2 linked regions of the Mytilus edulis genome follow. The protein of the gene in region 1 interacts with the protein of each later gene in a pairwise test. Links are inferred from orthologs where the notes say so. Each region holds a gene or a part of one and is shown in the gene's direction. Other genes may lie near its edges.

Region 1 (7,742 bases):
TATAGTGAACCCTGCATGAGTAAACTGGTTTAGGAGTCAAATTAAATATGAAATTGTACCTGAAACCAGTCATGCTAAGAATCATAACCAGGTGCTGTGAATGGTATATACATTGGGTTTGTTTGTATAATGTACTATATTTCTTATTTGTCATAATTTTTTCCCGCTGATACACATATTTAATATGGCTTCCCATGGAAGTAAATATTACTTCCATGGGCTTCCACTACTAATAGTTTCAAATAGATCTACTGTGTTTACTGTTTAGAAACCTCTTGTGTCATTATACCATTACTCTATACTTGTTTAAGTATGAAATTGTATTATAGCATGTATAGCATGTATTGAATACATTCTTCAAAATGTAATTTGAGGCAAATGAAAAATAGCATAAGCATTTTTTACTTTTTCGAAGATCAGAAGAAAAAATGTCTTAAGACATAATGTACTTCACTTAACTATTTATTTTACCTTTGCTCAAAGAATTTCGTGCTTGTGCTAGTCAATTGCAATCATAACTCATATAACTATATAGAGTTAATAATATGAGTTTAAGTTTGCTTCCAACCTTTTAAAACTATATCTACATGTAGTTTTGTCAGTCCTAAATTAAGACATGACAGGACACATCTAATTCTGTACATTAAAACTTTACCATCATATTAACCAAGTACAGTGAAACCTGTTTAAACCGAGCCTCTTCTGGACTTTTTAAAAGGAGTACAACAATGTAGGTCCGGTAAGGACCGATTTTGGCCCCAAATTTCAGGTTCATCTGACAAAAGATTTTGACCACTTTTTTAACACTTAAAGTGTCTATTTCTTTTGAATCAATTAGTTTATGTGAACGATTTTAACTGATTCTGTCATTAAAAATGATCCGATTTAAGCTCAAATATGAAAAATCTACCAAATATGCTGACAAATGTCACTTTTCAGATTGTTTTTGTCAAATATGAAAGTGGCCGCATCCGTGTTCATCCTCAACCTTTATATATGTTATGTATTATCATAAAATACAACTTACATTTCAATATTACAGATGAACACTAATGTGGCCACTTTCATTTACACGAAAACTGTCTAAAATTTAACTAAACTGCTAGAATTGTGAAGATTTCAGTAATTTAGCACGACTTAATGGTGCTATTACCTGATATATGTGCATTGTATTGTCAAAAACAGCCCATATTTATGTAGCAGAAGCATTCTACTGTCCAATAAATAACTGGAAGTTTACATTTTAACAATTTTGTAAATCTGCTATATTTTGGGGGCCAAAAAGGGGTCTTACGTGACCTACTCCTTTTGTGCAGTTTTGGCTGATGTTTGGTTTTAACAACACACATAATTTGATATGAGGGTGCTTACGGACATGTTTGGTTTATACAGGTTTTCGGTTTATACAGGATTCAGTTTAGTCAAGTTTCACATTCACTGTATAATGAAGTAAACATATAAAACATGAAATTTAGAAAGTATGTCACTTACTCCAGGATTGTCTTTATAATAATACAGTCGACTTTTCTTCTCATCTAACAAAAAATATCTACGTAGAAATTTTCCACTTCCCTCTTTTTCCTCTGCATTTAAGAAACCACAAAATTTTCCGTTCTTATCTTTGTAAGGCATTGTTCTTCATCTTATAGTGTCTGAAAGTAATGTTTAAAAACTTTGGTAAAGTTAATCATATTAATGTAAATTTTTATTTTTCATCTACTCACTATGGGCAGCCCTCTTCTATTAAATTACCAAATCAATTAACTGTGAATACATTTTTTAATTCATCATTTTCAGGACATCCTATTTCACTGGATAAAGTGGGTAAAGGCGGGGAAAAAAAATCATAGTGTACACTAAAATTTACCTTAAGCTTTTACACAGACAAATTACAAAAAAACAATGTACATATTTTCTTCAATCCACAAATATTGATGAACGTACGACTTTAAATAAAAATATTAAATTATTAATGATGGTCTTTTATTGAGATAATGTGTATAAATTTTTTTAAATGTATCCTTTAAATATAATTCATGGACATTAATAATTGCTTATCTGTCAATACATACATATATACAATGTATGTCATGTATGTGTAGTCTTCTTTTTCATGTTAAAATGCCACTGTCACTCTTATTCAATTATTGTCAGTTTGTTATTTCATTTGTACTATACTTGCCATAACCATTTAATGCAACAGGCTTTGTTTTACTTTTATAAATTGTTACTTGGATGGAGAGTTGTCTCATTGGCACTCATACCACATCATAAAGTCAAGTGACTCCAAGTTGATCCAGCCCAAAGTCAATCTGCCCCATGTCAATCCAACAGTAACGACTTGGGACGGGTTGACTTGGGGCGGGATCAACCAGAAAGCACATACTATAACTAATATCTTTTCTCTGGATGCTAGTTATGTTATCGTCGTGTCATATGTTTTCGTATCAACCACATTTCGTTTCGGTTTCGACTGCCTATACATATATTGTGGCGTGTTTATTGGTTTCTATATTTAGAACAACAACACCACTACAACTTGACAAATTTAAAACATATTCAACATCGCTTAATAAAGACGTTATCTAAGGTGACTTCCTAGAAGTGTTTCCAATCTTTGAGATTAGGAATGCCCTTAACCGTCAGGTGTCAAACTACAGCTACTGTTAGCATCAAATCAGTTAAAATTTTCCTGCTTCATCAGTATATATCCTTATCGTGATTTATCAGTGGTCTCAAATTTTTCACTGTTACTGTCATTTTTTGAAAGAATAAAAAAAAATGATTTGTCAAAATCTGTCTATTTATTGTCAAAATTATATTTGAAGATGGCATATAAACACTGAATTTAATATTGTGGTTCTGTGGTACACCAAAGAGAGCAAAAAATGCCTTATAAGGTCCATATACATGCACGATAACAATGATAACTAAAACAGTACATTTAAAGATGTGGGCCTAGAAAAACTCTACTGAGAAAGGGGCTTCTTGCAGAATATATGTCAAATGAATGCAACAAGGGTCATGTGCATGTTATAAACGAAACTTACTGTCTTTGTCACAGAAAAAGACTGTTTACCTTTTTCCTTGCCGTTTCAGGATACGGAAGTAAAATAAAATATAGGGACAATCTCCAAATACGAAAAGTTTATTTTGGAATTAATCACTTCATTATGTCTATTTTTTATTGCTCTGGGTAAAGCTATGAATTACTAAACATTTTAAGTATAAAATTATTAATTAAAGTATTACATTTTTAAGAAATATGCTCTATTTTATTTTGACAAGATCATTTCTCATGGTACACCGCATTTTTCTATGGATCTAAGCGTGTTTGTGATGAGCATAAGGGACGAAAACGTTCCACGAATGTTTTTTGCGAAGATGTAAACAAATTTTACCCATTTAACAAAGGTAAAGGATATATATATATTTACATAATACACTCATCAGTTAAACTGATTGATTTCATATATTTCAGATGTAACTGCCTGTTTTCAATGTCGAAATAAACATAAAATCAATGAATGTGTACCGCATTTCAAGCATTTGAAAAATGTATCAAGCAAGCTATAAATGTACATATTTAAAAAAGGATATTTGATACATAGAAAAAATACATTTTTTATACTTTGAGGACTGAGCGAATCAGGTGAGTGAGTGAGTTTGTATGTTTTATTTTGTTATATTGTATTATGTTCTCTCTAGCTTCAAATAAACAAATTCAAACAAAACATGTACACATATTTTTAATCACAAAAAAAATTATCTGTAAATACAAACACTCCAATTGTTATAAAATAATTTTATAAATTTTGTATAAATTTTTGTCAATCACGCATGCGCAACAACATGTATTCTTCAGTATTGAAGCCTTGTTGACCTTAAAGAAGAAGAAGAGGGAAGGTTAACTTTCTGGTAATAAGACCTGTCACGGCCTGGCTGGGGAATTGGGTAGGCAAATGCTCACATTAATCTGTACCGATACAGGCTGCAAATGCTTCCTTTATCCGCCATAAACCCCCATGGGTGACTGGGGTATAGAAATATGGTCACTTGGTCTTCTCCCAACCGGCAGTAAAACGCTTGCTGAAGTGGGGCGTCCGTTTGGCTGTGCGGGATGTATCAAGTTCGCAGAAGGGGACGTTAAATTCGATGCCTCGTGTAAAGAGAGTGCCATGCTCTTTGCACGTTAAGAACCCTTGCAACAACTCTTTGAGGGGTCCGTAGGTGGCCTGTTGCAAGGCAAAATTTCTGTCCCTATCCAATATACCCTCATTTTCCAGTGGCAGTCCAAATTTCCCCGACCATCATCCTAGATGGCCTCTATTACAACAACCTACCTATTGTATTTATTGTGAACTTGTTCTCGTCCTGAATATGCATGAAATATTTGCCACTGGATGTTAAGCAACCAACAATCAATCAATCAATTTATCTGCCATAACTCATGGTGGTGATCCTTATAAAGGATGCCTATACGGAGACAACAAGAAGAAGAAGTACATGCACTATATGATAGATAATACATTTGTATTTATAACTGTTCCATTTTTTCATACATGCACACAGATATAGTCCTTTTACATATATGACCTGAAGGCATAACAACATGTAATGATGTATTTTCTTTTGCTTAATTATTTTCTGATTTTTTTTTATTACTATAAATGTTCCAACCAAGCTGAAATCAAGGTTTTAATTGTTTTAAAAAGTTATTGTATACCTCAATTATGATGATTGTATTGATTGTTTCACCCTGAATAATTCAAAAGTTCATGGAAGTAGATAGAGCAGGTAGAATTTATTCAGGTCCTTGATATTGACACCAAGAAATTCAAGTACAGAGGTCCAATTAAAATATCAAAATTGAGAACAGAACAAACTTTTTTTCTAAGTATATTCCTTTCCCGCTGTCAATGTATGTGTTTAAACTTTACTGACAGAGGGCCGGACACCTATATATAGCTATGTAGATCCAGATGAGCAACATTGGCATTTAAAGCCTTTACATGTAGCTTGTTTAGTTTACAATGCTTTTATTGTTTTTACAAATCCTTTATATAGTTTATAAAATTTACACCTGCCATTAGTCCCAGTACAATTATCATAAAACCTTTAAACGTTTCACAATTATCAAGTAAATCCAATTACAGTTTATCAACATTTTGTTTGATGGTGAATAGTAGCCTGGGTGATTTATTTTGTACCCTGTGCCAATGATATTTGTTAAGGTGGCTCGGGGTATAAATCATTTTTTTTTTTAAATAGGATTTCACTATATTTTTTTATAAATAAACTTTATCATATACTTAATAGAAAAATGAAATAAAAAAAATGAGGTCACCGATCATTTAAGCTCACAATCTGCCTCCGAGGGAAGCATACATTTTTGTGAATGTCCTTTTTTTTCTGTTGAACTAAAAGGAGATTTAGAGGTAATATCGAAAAAAAAAGAACTCAATTACAGAAATTGTTAAAATTTTACAATTATTTAGTTTATGTACAGCTGATTTGAAAACAATAATAAAAGATATAGGTCACCGATGTCAGAGTTAAAAAAGATATTCCAAATTTGATGGCAAAAAATGGCATTTTGTACCATGTCATAAAGTAGTAACTAATAGTGTAATAAATAAAATTTGTAATGAAAAAACAAATGTTTAATTTTTTGCTGAAACTATTGTACCCGGGAGCCAATTGTACATGACCTATAAATAAGATTTTAGAACACACAGATAAATACTTGTTTTAAATTTCATGTGTAAAATTAAATGTCCTTAATTGTTACAACCTTTTGACTACCAATCATTTTTTGATAATATGTACAATATGTAGTCTTCTTGACAGTCAGTGTTAAACATAACTACTATCAAAAATGTGTAGTATACTTTACATTTTTAAACATCTAACAATCATTAGTTCTCTTGTAGATAAACAAAACATCTCTGCAGTATGTCGTTTCAATTGAATTTGCCACCCTCTGCGGTGGCAAAGTTGGCCAAAACAGAAGATGACTTTCCAAAGAAAGTGTCCAGAGAGGAATGGAGGAAACAGAAAGAGCTGGAGGAAGCTAGAAAGGCAGGAACAGCTCCAGCCATGGTGGATGAAGAAGGAAAGTAAGTTTAATTTATGCTGATATCAAGGATTCATACTTTAAAAAAATCAAGATGCTTTGATCAGAGATATTATGTAGATTTAGGTTGTTTCCAGTGATGCCAGTAGTGACAAAAATGAAGCCTCCTTTTAGATGATTTAAAAAATATTTCTTAATCTTAAGTATATTTATTCATTTTCTCCATTGTCAAATGATGCTGTAAAACATTTTGTCCAATATATATTGAAAATTCAGATTTAAAGTTCAGCTGTTAAGAAATATAAAACTATACTTTTCAGTGTAAATTGCAGGATAATAACAATATACATACTTTGAAGGAAAAATAAAACTTATTTGGACTATCTTCGAAACAGGAGTGACAAGCCTCACTTTTCTCTCTCTTTCGAAAGCTTTTAGTAATCAATATTCATGTTTTCCTACAATAAACCAGTATTGTATATATAATTTATAACATAATAAATGAAATACTTATTTGTTTTTTTAGAGAAATAAATCCTCATATTCCTCAGTATATTATGCAAGCTCCTTGGTATTATGGCGTAGATGCAGCAACACTGAAGCATCAGAGAGTTCAACCAGAGACAATGAAACCGTTATCTGAAGTGGGAGCATGGTACAAAAGGGGAGTTAAACAGGTATTTTCTAAACTAGTTCATCTGATACATGTGTATAAAAAATTCCACTCTTAAAGCAGAACATTAGGGCGTTTTATATTTCATTTATGTCATAAAATATCCACAAAATTAAAACCTCAACAAAATTTTAACCAGCATAGAACATGTAGAATTTTACAATCACATTCTAGAATCTACAAAGTTTACTTCAAATAAAATCGTACGCAAAATTACAAAACCTCGCAAAAATTATGTTTCTACAGTATTTAGTTTTCATAAAATAATCAAAGAATTGAATGCTTTTGGAACAACAAGGCAATTGTATATTCCTTTAACATATATATACACATTAAAAGGTTAGAATATAAAATGAATTTTACAGTTTTGATAATTTTGTTAAATTTCTCTCATTGAAATTGATGTGTGTATCATGTTTTTAAAAGTTGAACAAAACAATGAATGGCTGAACTAGTTTTTTAAAAAGTAAAAATTAGAAATATGTAAAGATCTTGCGATTATATTCTTTTGCTCTAACATGAACTCAATAATTTTAAAAATTATGTCATTTTATAAAGAAAAGCATTACAGATTGAGTTCAATTATTATATAACACATTATAGGGGTCCACAGCTACAAAATTTAGAAAAGGAGCATGCCAGAACTGTGGTTCTATGACACATCAAAAGAAAGATTGTTTTGAAGTAAGTAATAATTATACATTTTTCTGTATTCTTTACTGTGTTGGAACAAATATATATTAGTAAATCTAATCCATGAAAAATAAAACTACAGCAGATATTTAATTGAAACTCATCATGCTCATCGGACTAAGACTGTACATAATTAAATGCCAGTATGAAATCACAAATTTAAATTCATTTGATAAATCACAAATAAAAGATGGCTAGAAAAAATCCCAGTTTACTATCACAATAACCATGAAAATAACGGTATTTAATTCTAATTTAAACCCACCAGAATTTTGCTTTATGATTTTTTTTATGTATGTT
Region 2 (7,742 bases), on another chromosome or scaffold:
TTATGTGAGTTTTCACACCTGAGATATCAAATACAAATTACCTTATAATCAGTTGGTAATTAGTATCCAATTAAAGAAGGAATTTGATGAAGTTCAGGATTTCAGATTAACTTTTAACTCACCTAGTAATAACTATTCAATTGTTCAGTCATTTATGCTCTAGCTGACTTTCAACCAGTTCAGATCGCACAAATTATATTTCTACTATATTTTGCTTTAATCATGTCTTTTTAAAGACAATTTTCAATATATATTCATTATTGAAATATAGATATATTGACAGTTGTCAAACATATATTTATAAATACAAAAGTAAATAGATTGATATTAGTACTACTATATATTGCTTTATTTAAAGGCATGTCTTTTTAAAGACAGTTGTATAGCCACTATATTAGCACAACTTACTAGTAGACAAAATATCAAAATGGACAGTGGGTCTATTGTCTATATGCATACAGATGTATTACATCAAACAGAAATAGTAGATATTTTAACTAAACCTGAAACATCTCGTACATCGAAGCTGAAAACACCAGCCAAGTTAAATACTCCATCAAAACAGAAGGCTATGTCAACACCAAAATATACTAAGATATTGAGGTTTTGCTGACAATGGTGATAGTCAAGATCATCAGATACTTGTAACTGATAGTCTACCTCCAGTAAAGAAAGTAAAACTAAAGCCTATACCGATTGCATGGATTCCTGGTCTCAATTCAGACCATAAGCAAACTATATAAAATAATGAATGGTTATGCTCAGAGATTATCAATGTCTGTTGCACAATTATTTCAAGACAATTTCCGAACATATCTGGATTTCAGCCTACAGGACTTTCACCTGTCTTTGACGATGCTACCAAGTCTTGGTCAGAAAAAATTGTTAGCTTTTCACAAAAGGGATGTCCAACTGTACAAATACACCATACTGGCAAATCCCACTGGGTAACTTCATTGCAATCAGTGGACGACCAGTGTATAGATCTATGTTCTGGATAGCTTCAGTAAGACTTTTACTCTTACACCATCCCTTGACATTCAGCTTGCTGCTATTTATGGTCACGGCAAAAAGCAAATTTCAATTAAACTCCCAGAAGTCCAACGACAGCCAAATGGTTATGATTGTGGGATTTACTCTATAGCAAATTTGCTTGAATTTTGCTTTAATGGAGGTACTTTCAACTTCAAAAACAAAACGGCTTATTAAAAATATTATAACAAAAGAAGAGATATTAATACTTGTGTCGATCAGTTCAATATATTAAAGCATATATCGGTTGAATGTAAAATCCGTCCGGTCATTTTTTTTTTATTTTTATTTTTTTTTATTTAAATACATGTATATAGTTTAATTTTTCGTATGATATATTTATTCATCTCCAATGTTCATAAATTTCAGGGACAGATATGGTAAAAAAAAAAGATATTAACACTTGTGTCAATCAATTTAATATTATAAAGGCATATATATATCGGCGAATGTTAGTTCCGTCCGGTCACTTTTTTTGTCGCTCAGTTCAATAGAATCCATGACAAGTCGCCCCACTGGCAAGTCGCCCCACTCCTAGTCGCCCCACTTTTTTACCAACTCGCCCCACTTTTTAAAAAATCGCCCCACTTGTGAAATGTGTTAAATCCCGTTAATATTACTCCTGAAAACTCGCCCCACTGAATGGAAAACGATAAAATCTAGATTAACATATTATTAACCAGGATGAATGTAGTAAAGCCAACTCGCCCCACTCATGGAAAAAGATGTTATCCCGTTGTATATAACTTAAATTCCGTCAACATTACTCCTGCCAACTCGCCCCACTTATAGAAAACGATAATATCTAGATTAATATATTATTAACCAGGATGAATGTATTAATGCCAACTCGCCCCACTTATGGAAAAAGATGTTATTCCGTGAATATTACTCCTGCCAACTCGCCCCATTTGAAAGAAAACGATAATATCTAGATTTATATTATATTATTAACCAGGATGAATGTAGTAATGCCAACTCGCCCCACTTATGGAAAAAGATGTTATACCGTTGTATATAAGTTAAATTCCGTAAATATTACTCCTGCCAACTCGTCCCACTTATGGAAAAAGATGTTATCCCGTTGTATATAACTTAAATTCTGTAAACATTACTCCTGCCAACTCGCCCCACTTATAGAAAACGATAATATCTATTCTAAATTTAGAGACAAAAGTAACCAATCTGGTAATTGCTATGATAACAAATTGCTGTTAATTGAAATCCGTTAAGTATTATGATATATTGCATTATGATACAATTAACAGGTTTCTTTTCAATTGTTATGCAAATAACTAATCTTAAAAAAATACAGTTATTCTTCAATAATACGAAAATTATTTTTAAGTGGGCGAGTTTTTATATTTTAATTCTATATCTAAATATTACCGTTTTCCATTAAGTGGGGCGAGTTGGCAGGAGTAATATTAAACATGATGTAACCAATTTCACATGTGGGGCGATTTTCTAAAAAGTTGGGCGAGTTGGTGATCCAGGTTGGGGCGGTTTTTTTTTTTTAAAGTGGTGCGAGTTGGTGAAAAAGTGGGGCGACTAGGTGTGGGGCGACTTGCCAGTGGGGCGACTTGTCCTACTTCCGTTCAATATAATCAGTGCGTACATCGTCGAATGTGAATACCGTCCGGTCAACTTTTTTTGCAGATTTTTTTTTTTTACTATAAAGTTTATATTTTCGTGTAATATATTCTTCAATCTCACAGATTCCTGAGTTTCATAGACAAATATTGTAAAACAAAAGATATATGAACACTTGTGTCCACCAGTTGAAAATATATAAAGCGTATATCGGTGAGGGTGAATACCGTCCGGTCAACTTTAAAAAAAACAAAAAAAAACACGATTTTTTGCTATCAAGTTTATATGTTCGTATAATATATTTATAAATCTCACAGGTTCCTGAATTTCATGGACAAATATTGTAAAACAAAAAAGATATTAACACTTGTCGTTGACCAGTTGAATATATATATATAGCGTATATCGGCGAGTGTGAATACCGTCCGGTCAACTTTTTTGGCTCAAAAATAATTATTTTCCCTTTTTTTTTTAATTTTCATAAAATATAGTTTAATAAAGGTCTATAAATATTTAAAAAATCTACCAAATAACAAAAAAACTATGACTATGTATATCTCGTCCGGTCAACCGTCCTGTCACTATCCGGGCAATCGTCCTGTCATTAGTGCAACCCCTACTTGTCGCTTCTTGTCACTTGTCTATAAATAGTGAGACCGCATGTTTCACATGTTCGTATCCGGGATAGTTTATTTTATACAAACAACACATTGTTTCCGGTTGTATTCTTCCAAACAAAATTGAAATTATACATTTAATATGGTAACTTTTATTCGATCTTTCAATGAATTATAACATACCTTATAGAGTGGGGTGCTCATTTTCGCCGGGGACACAATTTCGCCGTTTAAGGATTTTGAGGTGTAAAAACTTCAAAGGATGGCTGAAATGGAAGAAATGTACCCGTAAATTATATTTTTATAACAAATATAATATTTTTTTAAACTGAGACAAAATTGCGGCTCCTACCGAAAATGACCGAAAAACGGACAACGATTTTCGGACACTTTCCTGAATAAAAAACACGATTTCAAAGAAGTATTTCTAAATAAATATTTGACTGAATGCCCTAAATTTGAATTCTTTATACCTTTGAAATGTCTGCTATTCATCTATAATGCAATTGATTTGATAAAAATTGTTAAAAGCTGCGGTTATTTGGTTTTAAATAGATGTGTAAAAACGGCGAATATGTGTCCCCCATTGACAAAACATCCGGAAGTTTCAAACACCCTTTAATCTAACTTTTCAGATGATTTTCTTAAAACAAACCGGTTTTCAAGCTTAAGTATAATTTGCATTTGAAGTTATCTTCATATAGAAATATCAGTATACTTCAAAAACATTTAGACCTGAACATAAACTGTAGAAAACATGGAAAGATGTGGCGAAAATTAGCACCCCACTCGAGTCTGTTTCTCGGCCGTTATTGAAATTCTTGACAATATATTTGTATATTCCGAAGGCATACTGAATGTTTTACGGAGGGGACCAACCTATGTAAAGAAGGACAAGGGATATTCTGGCTTACTTTATCTGGAAGTGGGTGTGCCTATAAAAATCCCAAAATTTCTCTACTGACTGTGAGATGACTTAACTTGTTTAAAATTGGTATAGACGAATACTGTTACATGTAACAGGTTGGGAACAAACCCCCTGTATGGTGATTATACCTCTATAGAGGGATAATCCTTCTTCAGAGGGATAAAATTATACCTCTGTAGAGGGGTATTTTTGTTTGCACTGGATTTAAAGCAAATTAGGGCAGAATGGCATTTTCTAGTTATATTGGCTATAATCTCTAGCATTATATGCATCAACATATATATACACTTTACTAAAAATTGGGATAACCAGTTTTCTGCTAAAGTGACAAAACTTGCAATCTATTGTAAACCTATCTGAAGAATCCATGATATCTCGGCCTATAACAAAATCGGACTATAACAAACTCGGCCTCCCAAAATCGGACTATAACAAACTCGGACTATACCAAACTCGGACTACTATAAGAATATAACTATAAGTATAATGTTGATTGTTGCTGTCATTTGAAATTAATTTTCAATTCTTAATTTAAAATGAATTTTTATCTACAATTAATTATATAATTTATTTTTGAACATTTTTGAAGGGGATAAAAAAAAATATGTTAACAAGATATAAATATATATATAAAAAGAAAAGTACAAAAAAACTTATATTTGAAGTTGATATATTGAAAATTTACATCGGTATCTGGAGCACCTGTTGTGTCTGCCTCAGTTGGTTGGTCTAGAGCACCTGTTGTGTCTGCCTCAGTTGGTTGGTCTAGAGCACCTGTTGTGTCTGCCTCAGTTGGCTGGTCTACAGCACCTGTTGTGTCTGCCTCAGTTGGTTGGTCAGGGTCACGGCTGATAGTGAATGTTCTGTTGAGGTTGTTGGTAGAGTTTGCTGCTGAGATGACAGACAGGTTGAGGGTACCGTAGTCTGGTATTGGTTGGTCGGAGACGTCTGTTATAACTGTAGAATTGACTGGACCACTGAAAAAGGATAATAAGTTATTAAAGTTTTATATTTTTAGCAGATATAAGTTCATTAATGCATTAAAACGAAGACCAACATTACTTATACAGTGACATATAGTTGAACACCCGGCATCATTGATCTCTGATTGGATGGATATTTGGTCATTGGCAATCGTACAACATTTTGATAGAGATTTCTATATACTAATTAAATTTTATGTTTGAAAAAAAAAGGGTATCCACTCTTGTTGAATATGGGGTCATTGGCAATCATATAACATCTTCATGTTTCGAAATTTTATATATACATATATAATTGTAACACCAAGTTTGTTATAAAACAAATGTATCAACTTTAAAATTTCAACATAAACACACTATTACAATAAGATTTATCATACATAAAGAGTGCCTACCTGGTTGTTTCTTCTTCTTTATCATTGCACTTGGTACAGATGAAATTTAAGGTCTCTTCACTTTTCATCATCGAACGATACTCCTTCATTGTAATACCTGAAAAGTTATAACATGATTTTAATAACAGAAGTCACTTATACAACTAAAAATTATATATAATGTCAACCAAATCCTCTTTTTAAAAAATTTTAAAAAATCCATACATAAAAATTTTTTTTTTAAAAATCCATATATTTATTAAACCCTTATAATAAAATTGAGAAAGCATCTTATAAGCATCTATTATTTTTATAATACTTCAAGTATAGTCATTGTAATATATAATACACACATGTACAAATACGATAAGTTTTGCATTATAAAAAATAATTAAAATTCTGTTTATAGGAAGCTAATACAACATTTTTACAAAGAAGAAGTATCTTACTGAATACAACTTTAATTTCCTTAAAGTAAAAGAACAATCAAGCAAGACTTTTTTATCCATAGAAAGTAAAATGTTTATGAGTAACAATTATGAACAAGTCAGAATAATATATACATGTAGAAGCACTTACCAGTATTACAAACTCTGTGCTGCCATAAACTACACGAATCACACTGTAAGGCATGTTGCTTTGTTGTAACCTTTCTAGAACACTCGACGCAGTGGTCGGTACCCATTTTGAAAATGATGAGGGATTTTTTTTTCATGTTATTTTGTAGAAGTATTTGGTAAGATCAAAGAAATCTCTGTTGTTTTTTCAATTTTACTCCAAATCTATTTTTAGATACATGTATAATAAATGTTGGCCTCGGCTTGCCTTTCTAAAAACATTGTATCCGTTTGATGTGACCATTTGAATATAATTACTTTTCAATTGCTGAAGCCATTAAAAAAGAACTACAGATAAGTGAAATTGTGAAGAAGCCATTCACTGTCAATCAAATTTCTCTTTGTTTATATACTAATCATAAACACCAAGGATTAAACACAATAAAAACACGAACACACGCCAATCATTAAAATATCTTTTGTCAATACACACAATAAATCACAATGATATTTCAAATAAAAGTTAATTATCCTCATTTAAACATATCAAATTCAACTCATATAACAAATATTTAATACATTTCTATATATGGTCTTTTTTTCAAAAATATTCATTATAATCTCATAAATTCGTATATAATTTTAATATGTAAAGTGTTTTTTTTTATTAAAGTAAAAAAAAAACAATCTACTAATCGTAGTCTGAGTTTGTTCAATCAGTGGGATTTCCAGTGGCACTAGAACAATAGAAAAGTCACTCTTCTTATGAAAGAGATAGAAAAGGTCTAAGAACAGGAGAGACAATTTACGCATAAAACCCGATATGCATAGGGATGAATATCTCTTAAAACACAAAACCATTATATAACTTTTATACAACCACTATAAATAAAGTATATGTTAAAGCTAAATGTGTTAATATATGATTTTTTAATTGCCAAACATGCTGTTAATTGAACAACCTATTGTTCAACATAGGGGTGTGTAAAAAACTGCCAGATTTGACTGCATATTTTTCTTTTTTTTTGAAAAAAATATATATCAAACCTTAATAATGTAGCTTTCTGGGTATCCAATTTTTAACGTGTTCCGAAATGTAGTTTCGTCACAAGAATTTTTCAAAGTTGTGTCATTTTGTCTATATGAATGTCGGTAAATTCGTATGATCGAGCACACCGACAAGTATATCGTTGGGACAACTCGATATAATGTAATCAATATACGTGAAAGATTACCTAATGTGAAAGTTTATCAAAATCATCATAACATAATTGATCAACACATTATGTTTGAACAACATGAGTCCTACAAAATAAGATTTAAAGGTGCATATCATTTACATTCAACGTTTTTATTGGATTTTTTTTAACTACAATGTAACCTCGAGGTTCAACGTTGATAGTAAAAAAAAATCCCAGAAATTCTTTGAAGGATATTGTAAATGATATGAACCTTCGAATTCTTATAACATCGGAATAGAAAATATGTGATCCGAATTAACCATGCACGTGTGCTACAGAAGATTATGAACTTTTATGATGTACAGGGGGTAAGGGTTTTTCTTAAACAATATTATGATCCCAAATTTGATGAATTTTGTTGGCAATACTTTTATATACACACTACATATAGCAAAGTATATATTAAATCTCAATGTA

What was found.
Region 2: the proteins of pre-mRNA-splicing factor SLU7-like (region 1) and peptidyl-prolyl cis-trans isomerase-like 3 interact in binary tests that used the Homo sapiens proteins (3 or more experiments, as listed by UniProt). The link is inferred for Mytilus edulis from reciprocal best matches to the Homo sapiens genes SLU7 and PPIL3.

Annotation. Positions count from the first base shown.
Region 1 is NC_092347.1:43,106,127-43,113,868, forward strand, and holds the start of pre-mRNA-splicing factor SLU7-like, read left to right. Parts: upstream 1-3,282; 5' UTR 3,283-3,414; intron 3,415-5,933; 5' UTR 5,934-5,955; coding exon 5,956-6,119; intron 6,120-6,602; coding exon 6,603-6,753; intron 6,754-7,352; coding exon 7,353-7,433; intron 7,434-7,742. Other genes in the region: pleckstrin homology domain-containing family A member 1-like, read right to left, coding at 1,492-1,632. UniProt on the Homo sapiens protein: Required for pre-mRNA splicing as component of the spliceosome. Participates in the second catalytic step of pre-mRNA splicing, when the free hydroxyl group of exon I attacks the 3'-splice site to generate spliced mRNA and the excised lariat intron.
Region 2 is NC_092345.1:496,663-504,404, reverse strand, and holds the start of peptidyl-prolyl cis-trans isomerase-like 3, read left to right. Parts: upstream 1-3,317; 5' UTR 3,318-3,384; coding exon 3,385-3,387; intron 3,388-4,019; coding exon of another isoform or gene 4,020-4,121; intron 4,122-4,855; coding exon of another isoform or gene 4,856-5,147; intron 5,148-5,548; coding exon of another isoform or gene 5,549-5,637; exon of another isoform or gene 5,638-5,649; intron 5,650-7,742. Other genes in the region: uncharacterized protein, read right to left, coding at 4,020-4,121, 4,856-5,147, 5,549-5,637. UniProt on the Homo sapiens protein: PPIases accelerate the folding of proteins. It catalyzes the cis-trans isomerization of proline imidic peptide bonds in oligopeptides. May be involved in pre-mRNA splicing.